3 linked regions of the Nothobranchius furzeri genome follow. The protein of the gene in region 1 purifies or fractionates together with the protein of each later gene. This does not show direct contact. Links are inferred from orthologs where the notes say so. Each region holds a gene or a part of one and is shown on either strand. Other genes may lie near its edges.

Region 1 (4,329 bases):
ATTAAATCAATGTTTACAGCATTTGCATTGCATTTTCTTGTGAAAGTTGCTGAAAACTAACATGTTTCCACCTTTGGTTGCATAAACCAAGTTATTCTCAGAATAATCTCACACTGACCACAGAAGCTGTAAGGCCTAGGGTATTTATTTTAAGCCAGATTCTAATATCAGGTGTATTATTTTTTTAAATACATTGAAGACCTTGGTGACTATGGAGGCAGTCTAAGCCCTCAGAATACTTACTGAGCAAAGTAAAGTGCACAGTCTCATTGCTAACCTCTGGGGTTTTGAACCTGAATGAAAAGTTGGACGTCTGTGATTTGTATAAATTAGATAAACCTGTTTGAATTCTCACCGCTCCTGTTGAGACAAGAACTGTGTTCCTCCTTTACAGAGGACAGATTTTTAATGAGGACAACATTAGCTGCTAATATGATTGTCTGAACTACAGGTGGAGTGTCTCCTCGTTCCAGATTTTAGTCGAGGAGGAGCTTTTGAGTCCATGTGCGAGCCTCTGGTCCTCCACCAGCCTTCAGAAAACTCCAGCCTCTGTGAGGAGCGTAGCGGCCTCGAGCAGCAGAGCCTTTGTGTAAATATGTATGGTGTGGAACATGGTGACAAAGTCCTGGGTGCTGAACAGAGTGTCTGCAAGAGCAAAGCCAAGAGTCGAGGGAATGAAACCTCTTCCGTACTCCACCATCCAAGTCCCAGCGCTCCACTGGACTGATGTAGCTTCTCCCACTTCATGAACAATGAAGTCACCTGTGGAAGTAAGAGGGAGACAAAAACACACTGATTAAAAAACAAATAATTAATATAAAAATGGACAACTACATGTTAAAACGAGTTACTTTACTACCTGGATAGTAGATTTCACTCTTAGTAGTCCCCTCCTTCCACTGCCGGAATGTGCCGGAGATGATAGTGTCAGATATTTCAGCCCAATATCGACCTGGAAGAACCAGGGGGAGAGGACACGAGTCAATTTTACTAAATTTAGTAAAAGAAATTTATTTCTAGACCCTCAGTTGTATCAAAGGGCTTGTTTCCATCATATAAAAATCTGAATGAATAAAAAGTTTGAGTGCCGGCTTTAAAATTAGTGAGTTCATTCACAAATATATGATCCTCCTGTACCTGAGTGTCCTCCTGTGTCCACAGCAGTACCAAACAGTAGTAAATACTCAGTGAGCGAGGCATGGAGGAGACACATGGAGCCCATCCATCCTCCAGCATTCACAAACACCCACTGCAAGTCTTCATCAGGCAGAATGTGGCCTGGATACCTGGTTTAGATACGACTTATTAGTCATCAATGCATCCTTGTTTCTATATGAAAAAAAAAAAACTTATCATAGAGATCAGTGGAGTGCACCAACGGGCATTCAAATAAATGCAATCAAGCATCTGAGGGCTCCTAAGCGTGTGGGGACTTGTCTGTGGTGGCAGTCTGGAGAAAAAACAAAAACTTAGGAAGACTGCAGCAATTCTGACTTACCTGAAAATTATAGCTGAACTAACAGCACAAGTATGCATGAATGGAGGTTTGGTTAGAAGACTGTAGTCTTAATGAGCTGCGTTCACTAGAACATTTCTGAACATTTTTATTTTCCCCCACAACAAAAACTGAAACCAGTGTGAGAGCTGTTTTATTGAAGATTTGGATGCCTTATGATGCTGTTATGTTCAGGACTAATAACCCGAGAGAAGCATCTAGATTATAATCCTTCAGCTTTCTTCACCAGTCTTTTATTTTTTCTCTGCAGCAGAATCTGATCTGGAGCCACACGTTTAATCTTGGACATGGCTCTAGTTTAAACGAGGCACCAGGAACTTAATCTCTACGCAAGAGTCTGATCTGATTCCTGACTTTTAGAATTGCACCTATTACAGATGGAAGAAAAAAACCCTAAACAAATACATATACTTTGTTATAGTTTTATTACTATTATTATGATTAAATAGCCGATAGAATACCATAATCCAAATGCATGCCATCTTTCTGAATGTATTTTAAATCTAATTTATCTTATTACTGGTAAATGAATAAGGATTCATTTCGGAACATTGCATTTAGTTCAGAACGTGTTCTGGATGAACTATGAACACAAACATCTGTGAACTGCTGACCTGGCTTCTTCAAAGTGTGAACTTGCACAATACAGTAGTGTTCAACGTGAACGAACTGATTGTACGGCCTTTCGACACATTAAAAGTATAGGTGAAAATGAAACGATTTAACTTATAATCAACGCATGCACAGTCGTAAGTTTAGCAGTGGAGAGCCCAATATGATGAACTAGTTAGAAAATGGCTAAAATTAGTCTATTATTCTTATTCTGACTAAAACAACAAGTATTTTTTCCGGATCACCTTGGTTTGTGTCTGAAAACATGCTGAAGCAAAATCACCTCTTTCTGAGCTCCAATACCACTTTGGAGAACGCCTGCTCATGGTCTTGCCCTGGGAATAAACACAATTGAATGAAGACACTGACGAAAGTGAGCTGAAAACAATTTTAGGAAAAGTAAATTGATCATTAGACTACTAGAGCACGAGTGGTCTACAAAAACGTCAAACTTCCAAACTCACCCGCGTATTGCTTCGCCAACTTGGCGATGTCTTCTTTGTTGAAAACATACGTCTTGGTGGCCATCCAGTACCGTAGCAACAGCACGACCAGGACGGCGACTGTAGCGACTGCAAATAGTCTTAAAATCGCTCTGACAAACGACATGGCTACAGACAAACGAACACCTAGCAGCAAGTTTAGCTACATGAATTAAACGAGGCAGAACAGAAGCAGGTTGCTAAACTAGGAGATGTTTCTGGTCACGTGGTCATGAGGACCGCCGATCAGCCAATCACGGACTTTGTTTGTTGAATATATTAGCGGCTGTCGGGTTGCCAGTACACACTAAAATCTGGAAAATAATTCAATTAAAGTTTATATTTGACGTTATTCTTATTAAGTATATTTAATAAATATTATGTAAAATGCATTAAAACATAGTAAGTAATATACATTAAAACTTAGTAATTTATATCTGTTTTTAAAAGCTTATTCTAAAATCCTGATTAGACACGAATGGCATGTTTTGTCTTTCGTCCGACAACAGGAAGTGGGCTAAGGGTATCAGTTGAGCTAAAGTTCGGAACCATCGACATTCGGAACCAGCTGATGCTTACTTGATTTAACTTACAGGTTTTAAATAGTACCGTATCATGAGTGGCTACCAGAGTGTTAGTTTCGACCCCAGCGGTACGTGTGTCTCCTTTTCTTTTTGTAGCAGTTCACTTTATTCTTTCTGAAAGAAATTAGGTTTAAAAACAGGTTTACAGTTGTTGCATTTCCAAACGTACTCTTGTTATTTATGCAAGTTTGTGAAATTTAGGTTGAATTATTCATAGCTGAAACCTGCCGTTTATTTTCCTGTAAATATCCAGCTGTGAATCATGTGATCTGAATTCCTGCTGAGTTTACAGCTGCACTTGTAGCCACGCTAGTACTTCAGCGTCATTTTGATGCTTTCTTTGTAGTTTATTTCTTATTGGCTTAGTAATGTTGAGAGATGACAATAATTGAAGTGAGGTACGATAAGTCAGAATACCAAAGACGGTAAGGGTTTGCTGACTATTCAGTAAACTTTGGCAGTACCAAGCTTGCTTTAGCTTCCCTGCTCCAGCACACCCTAAGTGGTTGATGCTACTGTTGTTTGTCATCAAATTGTGCAAAGGCCTGCTAATTATCCATCCATTGAAATCAGATGTTATGAAGCCATGAAACTCCTAAAATATGCAGGATGGTGGTCCTTGTGGTCCTTGTAGGACCAAGATTGGACAATGACAATGTCCAATGACAATGTAGTGGGGCTGTGTGCATGATGATCAAAAGTTGATACCAACTTTCTGCTTTTTGCACCAAATAATAAAAAAACTGTTTAACAAAAAGAGATGTTTTGTAATTTTTACTCAAATATTACACTCTTCTGCCCTTTTTAGAGGCTCCTTGGCTTCATAACATCTGATTTGAATGGGTCACCTGTCTTGTGAAAAGTAGGAATCCTAAAGCGTCTGATATGAAACATTAGTGTTGTTAAAACGAAGCTCACTGATAATTGAAGAATACTTTATGATGGGATTTTACACAAGGAAAAAAAGACAAAGAAATAAAAAGCCCTAGCAATGTTTTTAACATCTTTTTTGGTGATACTCCATGTCCTGTAAACACCAGAGCACCAGCATCTGCGTTACAACCCACTGCGAGACAGCTGGGTCCTGGTCTCGGCCCACCGGATGAAGAGACCCTGGGCTGGTCAGATGGAAAAA
Region 2 (4,328 bases), about 8.4 Mb from region 1:
TTAGCTGCTATTGGCCAAAAACACAAAGGTATTATTGGTCATTTCTCCAGGAAACAAACATCTTAATCATTAGAATCATTAAGTTGCATTAAAGTTTTGTGCAAAAAATTATTTTTGCTTCACAATAAATAGCTGAAGATTCACAAGTCAGTGTCTGGTTGCTCTTGTGCAGATTACAAAGTAGTTATTCAACCAGTGAGTCAAAATATATATTTTTTTCATTAATTCATTTCTGAGATTTTTGCAGCAAGAAGTGAAGAGAATACACAACTTCCCGATCTTCACATGCATTTTTTCCTTCGGAGCAGCAAAAAGTCTGCAGCTTTAACCTTTAGCCTGTTCATTTATCATACCTGCTGTTTAAATGTCCAAACTTTGCCAAAGATTAAGAGACGGAAACCTCACAAAGCCGCACTTCTGTCATTTCCCCCCATGCATTTATGCAATCAGCAGCCAAAACATAATGACCAGAGCAGCAAACAGAAAGAGTCGAGACAGGAACTGTTCATCTGTGTGCTGCGGCGTCCCAGGAGCTGCTGTGTGGGTGAAAGTTCAACAGAAGTTACTGGGTAAATTGTTTTCATAAGAAATGAAAGAACACAGAGGAAATGTGTAACCACCTGGAGGAGGTCGTCCATCATTGATGTTAAAAGCCGTGGCAAAAATACCGAACGGGAAGGCACCGATTCCAAAGGACATCTGGAAACCTCCATCTCCGAAGCCAAATCCCTGAAATCCCTGCAGGGATTTTTAGAAAAAAATGAAAACGTGTCATATAACAAAGTAAGAAAAAAAAAGTGTGACACAATGAGCAGTAAAAGTTGTAGTGATTCTCATGAGGGGCTTTATCTCAGCTGTTCACTAGTAATGGGTCCCAGAGGGAAATGGCTTTTCAGTCATGAATAAAACAGGTCTAAACGGCAGCACCTACATCATTTTTGACTCACGGTTTCATCATGAGCTCATTATAATACTCTAGAGCTTACACGAAACTTAATGTAGTTATTCACAATGATGGTTTAACTGTGCAGATGTATTTGTTTGTGTACTTACACCACGGTTTTCCGGCTCTGGTCTCTGTCCTTGTGGTCGAGGGGGCGTCCTTTCCCTTTGAAGCATCAAATCAGATATACACCGTAAAACACTAACATAATGATAATTCTTGCACCACAAGTGTGTTAATGTAGAAGTGTGATGACACAATAAATCATGTCAACACTTTTTAGCATCTACCTAGGATCCTGTTGACCCGTGCTTCCCCTCCCATACAAGGGGATTACTTTGTCCCGGCTGATGCCAGCTTTACACACCGGACACACTTGTCTGTTGGGTCGAGTCTCCAACCACTGCATGAAGATAAACGGATGTTAACGAGTCAACGGGTTAGCTAGGGGAACATCTTTGTAAATGAAAAAAAATCTAAGTCAGGCTTACCTGATGCAAACATGGCCAGCTGAACATCAGGAGCAAATGAAGTTCATGGAAGTGAAAAAAAAAAAAAAAACAGGATTAGTAAAAAAAAAAAAACCACATTGGAAAATATTCATGAAAACAAACATTAGATAAACTGCTTGTCAAAAAAACCCCAATTAAGGACAATAAAAATAAACACTAATTCTACTTGAATATTTCATACTAATTCAAACATACTGGATAACATTTAAGAGAAAATTAACAAATAATTACTTTGTATGAACACTGATCAGACCACTTTGGCTGCTAATTCATCAGCAAATTTTTGGACATAAAAATGACTAAAATGTTGTTTTGAAAGAGATTCAAGGATTTCACAAAAACATCAGCTAAAAGAAAACAGATAAGTTACCTAATCAGCTAGTAAATTGGCAACTGCCACTTTATTTGACAAAATAAGAGGATTAATTAGATGTTCCAGAACTTTAAAAAAATGTAAACTTTTTCTGATTAGTCATATAAAATGAAAAACACTAAAAACAATAGTGAAACTGTATTCTCGTGCAATCTTCAAACATTTTTGCTGAAGCAAACTGTGAAATAAGTATTTTTATTATTGATGTTAGGAATATAAATGGCTCATAGGCGCCTCGTGATTTTTATCTTGAGAGGCGCTATAGAAATGATACTTTCTTCTTAGACAGACCTGGTAGAACTTAAAACTGTTTTTTCCGCACAGTTTAATTGAAGTGGTAAAACCGGAGACAACATTTTGGTTCATGCTGTACTGCTGAGTTTAGTTCACTTGTGTCCAGCCGCTAAAACTGAGGTGGTTTCTGATTTCACAATGTAAACATAAGTAACATATTTAAATCTTACCAGAAAAGGTGGCCACACAAGCTGATCACGGCATCCTTCGCTGTGTCCAGGCATATGTTGCATTCAAAGGTGCTGTCCTGGCTGCCTCCGTCGGCCGCTGCCGAGCTACTGGATCCCGGGCCGGAGTTTTCAGGAGCCGAGACGGTGGAGCCAGAGACTGGTGGAGAGGGGGCAGCGGCGGCCATTTATTTGCTAAAAGTCGGTCCAATATTCAAGCTAATACGGTTGGGATGGCTCTGTTCGTTCCTGTCAAACACATAAGAAAGTGACAGGAACTGACAGAAGTGGTCTCCCACTAAGAAACCTGAATAAAAGAAAGGAAAAGCTAACTTTGTGTCATCTGATAGCTATGCTACCGTTAGCAGCTAGCAAGCTAGGAGAAAGGCTAAACGAACTGAGGCGTAAACCGAACCACATATACAATTATTACAGTGGCTAAAGGAATATTTCAACATACATTTTGTAACATAGCCTCATTAAAACTTAATTATGACTTGTTGCGAAAATAGCCTTACAGCTGGTTGCAACACTTCCGCAGGGTGTTAGCCCTAAAAAAGAGTAGGACTAAAAAAAAACGTGGCTGTTTCTTTAAAAGGCGTGGCTATTTCTAAAGGGGGTGGGGTTACCTTGTGTCCGGATTAGTGACGTAAAGAAAAGTAGATACACAAAAACAAAAAACTTACTAATAGTTACTCTTGTGATGGAGAATGTTGCACAAACAATGTCTTCTCATAATTATGGAATTTATTGTTTCTGACATAGGTTTGTGAAGAAGTTGGTTGTAGACTGATGTTTAATTCCTTCTATAAGAGTGATTTTTTGCTTATGCGCCAAGATAATGTTTGTCTGAGGGGTATCCATAGACTGTACATACGGGGGTATCCCAGAAACATGTAGCTAGTACTGTTGCACGATATTAGGAAAACCTGCAATGCGCGATAACAGCGATTAATATCTCCATGATGATATGACTAGAAATAAACAAAAATAAATAAATAAAAATAAAAAATACAACGAAATAGAAAAATATAGAAAATGGGCAAAGCAAAAATTGTGATCAAAAGATGTGAGGAAAAAGGAAAAGACAACTAATAAGACAAGGCAATCAGTAGATCCTGGGAAAAGCTAAATCAGCAGAAAGAGCAAAACAAAGCTAACTTGTATGTTAGCCATCAAAGTCAAGTGTCGTCCGCCTAGGGGGCAGGCATCTAACCTATAGAATCCACCCGATATGCCAAATAGGTAAGGCTCTATTTGATCTGTCAAAAACATATGCTTCTGTTTGATTGACAAAATGCATTATGTGTAGCAAGCATTTGAGCTGACCATTTATTGTGATGTTTTCTGTTCATTGTGATACGTGTTTTGCACATGCCGATATCGCAATCTATTCTATCATGCAGCCCTAGTTGCTAGATGGTATATTGTTAATTCAGTCATAAAATTTAAATAAAACAAATAAGGGTTTTACCTTCTTTGCTCCTTTTGTCGTATCAAGAATGAAACTTTAAATCAGCTTTTTTGAGAATTTCTTTTGGATATTCTGGAATGATTTAACCCATTTTGAGCAGAAACTGATGTGCACCTTAAACTCAGAATTTTGCATATTCTATTTAACTTAGTTTTTAATTTTTAAAATTCATGTTTATTGACTATTTTAAATATGTCAGTATTGTTTCTAAGCAAAAACCAAGTTATTTTCATGAAAGATGTTACACAAATCCCAAAGCTGAGAAAAATAAATCCTCACGTATAGGCACAACCCATATTTGGTATTTTTTAATTTTTTTCTATGAGTTAAATTTCATCATTGTAAATGTTTATTGTAGGTAAGGCTTATTTTTAAAAAATCACAAATTTTATTTCGACACTATGTCTAAAAAGTAATTTTTGCTGATCCATCGCACCCATAAAGCAACAGCAATCACAGTTGGTTGTTTCTTTTCTATTTCTATGAAAACAGATACACAAATCAAAGGCACAATCTATTTTTGTTAGTAAATTATTAATTTACGATTTATAACATTAATTATAAA
Region 3 (3,611 bases), on another chromosome or scaffold:
CACAGCGATGCTGAAAGACAGCATCCCCACAAACACCGCCACCTGTGGACAAAAGTGTCAGCTGATCAGAAACACTGATTTGGTTTATTCACATGGCTGCTAAAGCAGGACTGGTTCACTCACGACGACGGGTCGAACCCACTCCTTCAGGATGAACGGAGCGTAGACTTTCTTGAAAAACCGGAAGAGGAAGCCATCCGTCTTGACTTCGTAACGTTCAGGCAGCTTCACACACCAGCAGACGTCTAGCCGGTTCTCCTTTAAAACACAACCCACCGCACAATGTTCAACAAGTATAAACATTGTCCTCACGCTACAACGACAACCAGCTGTGATCAGGTAGATAAATAAATAAATGAATAAAATCCAAGAGGGCCAAGCAGGTTTCTAGTGTCCACGTTAAAAGCTCTCATTCACCCATTTTTATTAACAAACCTGATGTGGGCTCAAGTATGAATGAATGAATGAATGAATGAATGCTTTGTGAGTCGTTTTGACTTTGGTGCTCCAGTTTCAGGAAGTAGAAGTTATTTGGAGTAAGTTTGGATGGAAAACGGCAGGATTTTGATTCAAAATATGCAAACATCTCACCTCTGATTGGCTAAAAGCAAGTAGCTCTTCCGTTGAAGTTGTTTGATTTTCTTTTATGCGTAACTCTTTCAAAATGTTGTGGAATTGCTAATGCTAATGGTTAGCTTCTACTAACCCAAACACACTCTGCTCTCATTTCCACGATCACAAGCCACAGTGGGCGACGCCATGAATGAAAAATTTCTCTTGAGCTGTGTGGCTTTTCTAACTCAGTGGTTCTGCTTTATAAATCACACCTGTCTTAGAAATGTGCTCACGTGCAACCATGACAACCAAGAAAGATTTCCACGGTCTGGGGTGTCGCTTATACATGGAAAAAGTGTTTTATTCCCTCTAATTTCCCTCTGGGGTTAAAAAAGTATCTTTGATTTGATTTAGCGACACCGCGCTGCTACAGCGGAACTTTGGAGCCACGGAGCGATCAGCGGATGCCAATAAATAAAAATATTTAAAGAAGTGGTCAGATGGAGCTTAAGATGGCAACAATCATTGACATCATCAATAAAAGCAGCACTATGGTGCATAGGGAGGGGTCACTGTCTTTTCCAGATCCAAGTGGAACATTTAAGGAAAACATTTAATTTAGCCCAAAGGGCTCTAGGCAGGAAATATTGAACAAATATCAGCTGATACCTGCTGGAACGAACTGGTGTTGTCAGAACTCCTGTTTATGGAAACTCCGACAGCTGCACCTCTGCCCGGTTCACTACAGTGACGTTTTAAATTATAGTGTGAATCACAGGTGTGCGGTCACGTACGACACAATTAATGCACCAATAAGTTATTTAACGACACATGAAAGTAATGTATTTTAATCACTGATATAATTTTTATTCTCAATTCAGAGATGGAGGGGGTCTTCTTTTTGGTTTTGTGTGTGCGTGCGAAAGGCCTGACCACTTCTGTTCACTGGACGTGAAGGTGGCATCTAACGTAATAGAGGCGTTTTACCCATGAGCTCATTCCCAACTGGGAGCGTTTCAGATGTGAAACGAGAGCGAAAGCGTTCCACAAAGCTGGCGTCACAAAATCACATGAGAATTGCAACACCACGCGTGATTTCAGAAGTTCACCCACAATAAAAAGCAAGGAGAAAGACAGCTGCATGCATCAAAAAGGTCTGGTTTATTTTCTGCTCTGTTTACATCGGCTACGGGGGTTTAAACAGAAAATGACGTAAGTTTACCTGCATGTGACTTTTATTTTGAAAGTTTCTGGATGTTTTGCACAGCTTTTGTGTTTGACATCCAGTCTGGTGTAACCTACACTGTGGAGTTTGACGTGTTTTGTAAATAGACTCGAAACATAATGATGTGTCCCTTCGCTTCTGGGGCGCGTCCAAAACGTCATCATTTGGTGTCGGTGGAAAGGAACGCATTCACTAGAACGGCGGCTAATTTCTGCGTAGTACATTCCGTGTATGATTTGCGATGCTTTAAAGGTTGAATATGGAGCATGGACACTATAGCGACATCTAGTGTTAGGAGGTAGTAGTGCAACAACAGAACACATTTACCAGCTGTTAGGGTATTGGTTCACTGCTGACACGTGACCAGCCAGGACCATGTCCAGTGATGAATCGTACAGGGTAAAGACTTATTTCTACTAATATGTTAACTTTGTAACACTATTTACCGTTAGAACATCTTCTGGGCTCAGAATCAGCTGTTTGGCCCGCCATTATACACAGTCCCAGCCTGCCTTGCCAAGCCAACTTTTTACTGCAACGCTGCCCCCTGTTGACTGGTAGATGTAAGCATAAACCTAGTGTTGTGCCCCTCAAAATAACATTTTTATTATTATTTTTTTAAATATACCTTTTAAAGCAGAAACTGGACATTCTACACACCTCTAAATGCCACGTCGTGGTATTTTTTTAAATATAGCATTTTATCAAAATATTCCATATTCCAACTTTAACTTGGAAGTGGAAAGAAGGGGTGAAAAAAAAAAACATTTTACCATCTCACTATCTCCCAAATGTGCTCCTGCCGGGTCAAAAGTTTGCTTAAAGTTAAGCACATCTTTCCATCAAGTTTTTTTTTCAAAGAACAGAAAGTTTGCATGGAAAATCACGCAGTTTTCAGACCCCATTTTGTTCATAAGCAAGCTTTATAATCAGGCCCCAGGTGAAGATACAGCAGAGCAGGATTATTGTGTTGAGTTCAGATGTGGAAAAAACAGTGTTTGGTGTCACCTTGATGAGGAGGACTGCAGCAGAGCATCGTAATACGGAGCAGCAGGGGTGACAAGGTGTTGGAAGTTTATAATCATCACCACGACTGCCTGTGGATGTCATCAGAGCTGACCGTCTGAGAATATTTTAAATAGATATTGTTGCCTGTTCTTATTGTAGAAATTATTTGATAGGGAAAAGATTTTTTTCTTGTGTAGTGCATGTTATTTATACTCCTAAATTAACACAAAGTTATTAAGAGGTGATAACAGTTCGATCTTATGCTGAATAATCCCACTGAGTGTCCCTGCCTCCATCTCACCTCCTGTCTTTTGGCATCCATGCCGAGCAAACTGACAAAGCAGCTGATCTGCAACAGGAAATCAATAAAAACGGCCAAGCCAGCAAACAGGGAGAATGTCCTCACTGCAGGCATGTTGGACAAGGCACCTGGAAGATAAAAATAAAGAAGTACATCAGCTTCTGGCTCAGCAGAAAACAGCAGGTCGTTCATCTGCCAGATGTGTGAATTCTCCCTGTAAATAATTATAAATAAAGCTTTAAACCAAAATTCTGACTGTTGCATGAATGCACAACATTCTGCTGCTGATTGCTCTGCAACGTGTTGTTATAAACAGCATGTTTTTAATTATATCAGTGCACACCTGCTGTGACAGGGAAGAGGAAGTGATCCAACCTGCGTGTGAGTTTATTTAAAGAGGAAAACATCAGAAATGACCAATGATACTGAAAAAATTTCACCACTTGTATTTTCTTCTCTTTGTTTAAATGGACTCACTTACCTGAATATTATTGTTATCAAAGGTTCAAGCTGTGTGCTTTA

Evidence for each region.
Region 2: the proteins of sigmar1 (region 1) and rnf185 purify together in Homo sapiens (affinity purification with mass spectrometry; 3 studies listed by BioGRID and IntAct, with this or other methods). This does not show direct contact. The link is inferred for Nothobranchius furzeri from reciprocal best matches to the Homo sapiens genes SIGMAR1 and RNF185.
Region 3: the proteins of sigmar1 (region 1) and npc1 purify together in Homo sapiens (affinity purification with mass spectrometry; 3 studies listed by BioGRID and IntAct, with this or other methods). This does not show direct contact. The link is inferred for Nothobranchius furzeri from reciprocal best matches to the Homo sapiens genes SIGMAR1 and NPC1.

Annotation. Positions count from the first base shown.
Region 1 is NC_091746.1:43,713,276-43,717,604, forward strand, and holds the start of sigmar1 (sigma non-opioid intracellular receptor 1), read right to left. Parts: upstream 2,906-4,329; 5' UTR 2,738-2,905; coding exon 2,593-2,737; intron 2,464-2,592; coding exon 2,412-2,463; intron 1,287-2,411; coding exon 1,138-1,286; intron 953-1,137; coding exon 860-952; intron 763-859; coding exon 533-762; 3' UTR 1-532. Other genes in the region: galt (galactose-1-phosphate uridylyltransferase), read left to right, coding at 3,226-3,262, 4,235-4,329. UniProt on the Homo sapiens protein: Functions in lipid transport from the endoplasmic reticulum and is involved in a wide array of cellular functions probably through regulation of the biogenesis of lipid microdomains at the plasma membrane.
Region 2 is NC_091746.1:52,069,712-52,074,039, forward strand, and holds the start of rnf185 (E3 ubiquitin-protein ligase RNF185), read right to left. Parts: upstream 2,902-4,328; 5' UTR 2,808-2,901; exon of another isoform or gene 2,539-2,807; 5' UTR 2,478-2,538; coding exon 2,293-2,477; intron 1,454-2,292; coding exon 1,435-1,453; intron 1,347-1,434; coding exon 1,234-1,346; intron 1,109-1,233; coding exon 1,054-1,108; intron 739-1,053; coding exon 621-738; intron 537-620; coding exon 439-536; 3' UTR 1-438. UniProt on the Homo sapiens protein: E3 ubiquitin-protein ligase that regulates selective mitochondrial autophagy by mediating 'Lys-63'-linked polyubiquitination of BNIP1.
Region 3 is NC_091751.1:48,786,630-48,790,240, reverse strand, and holds part of npc1 (NPC intracellular cholesterol transporter 1), read right to left. Parts: intron 3,218-3,611; coding exon 3,090-3,217; intron 259-3,089; coding exon 124-258; intron 43-123; coding exon 1-42. UniProt on the Homo sapiens protein: Intracellular cholesterol transporter which acts in concert with NPC2 and plays an important role in the egress of cholesterol from the endosomal/lysosomal compartment.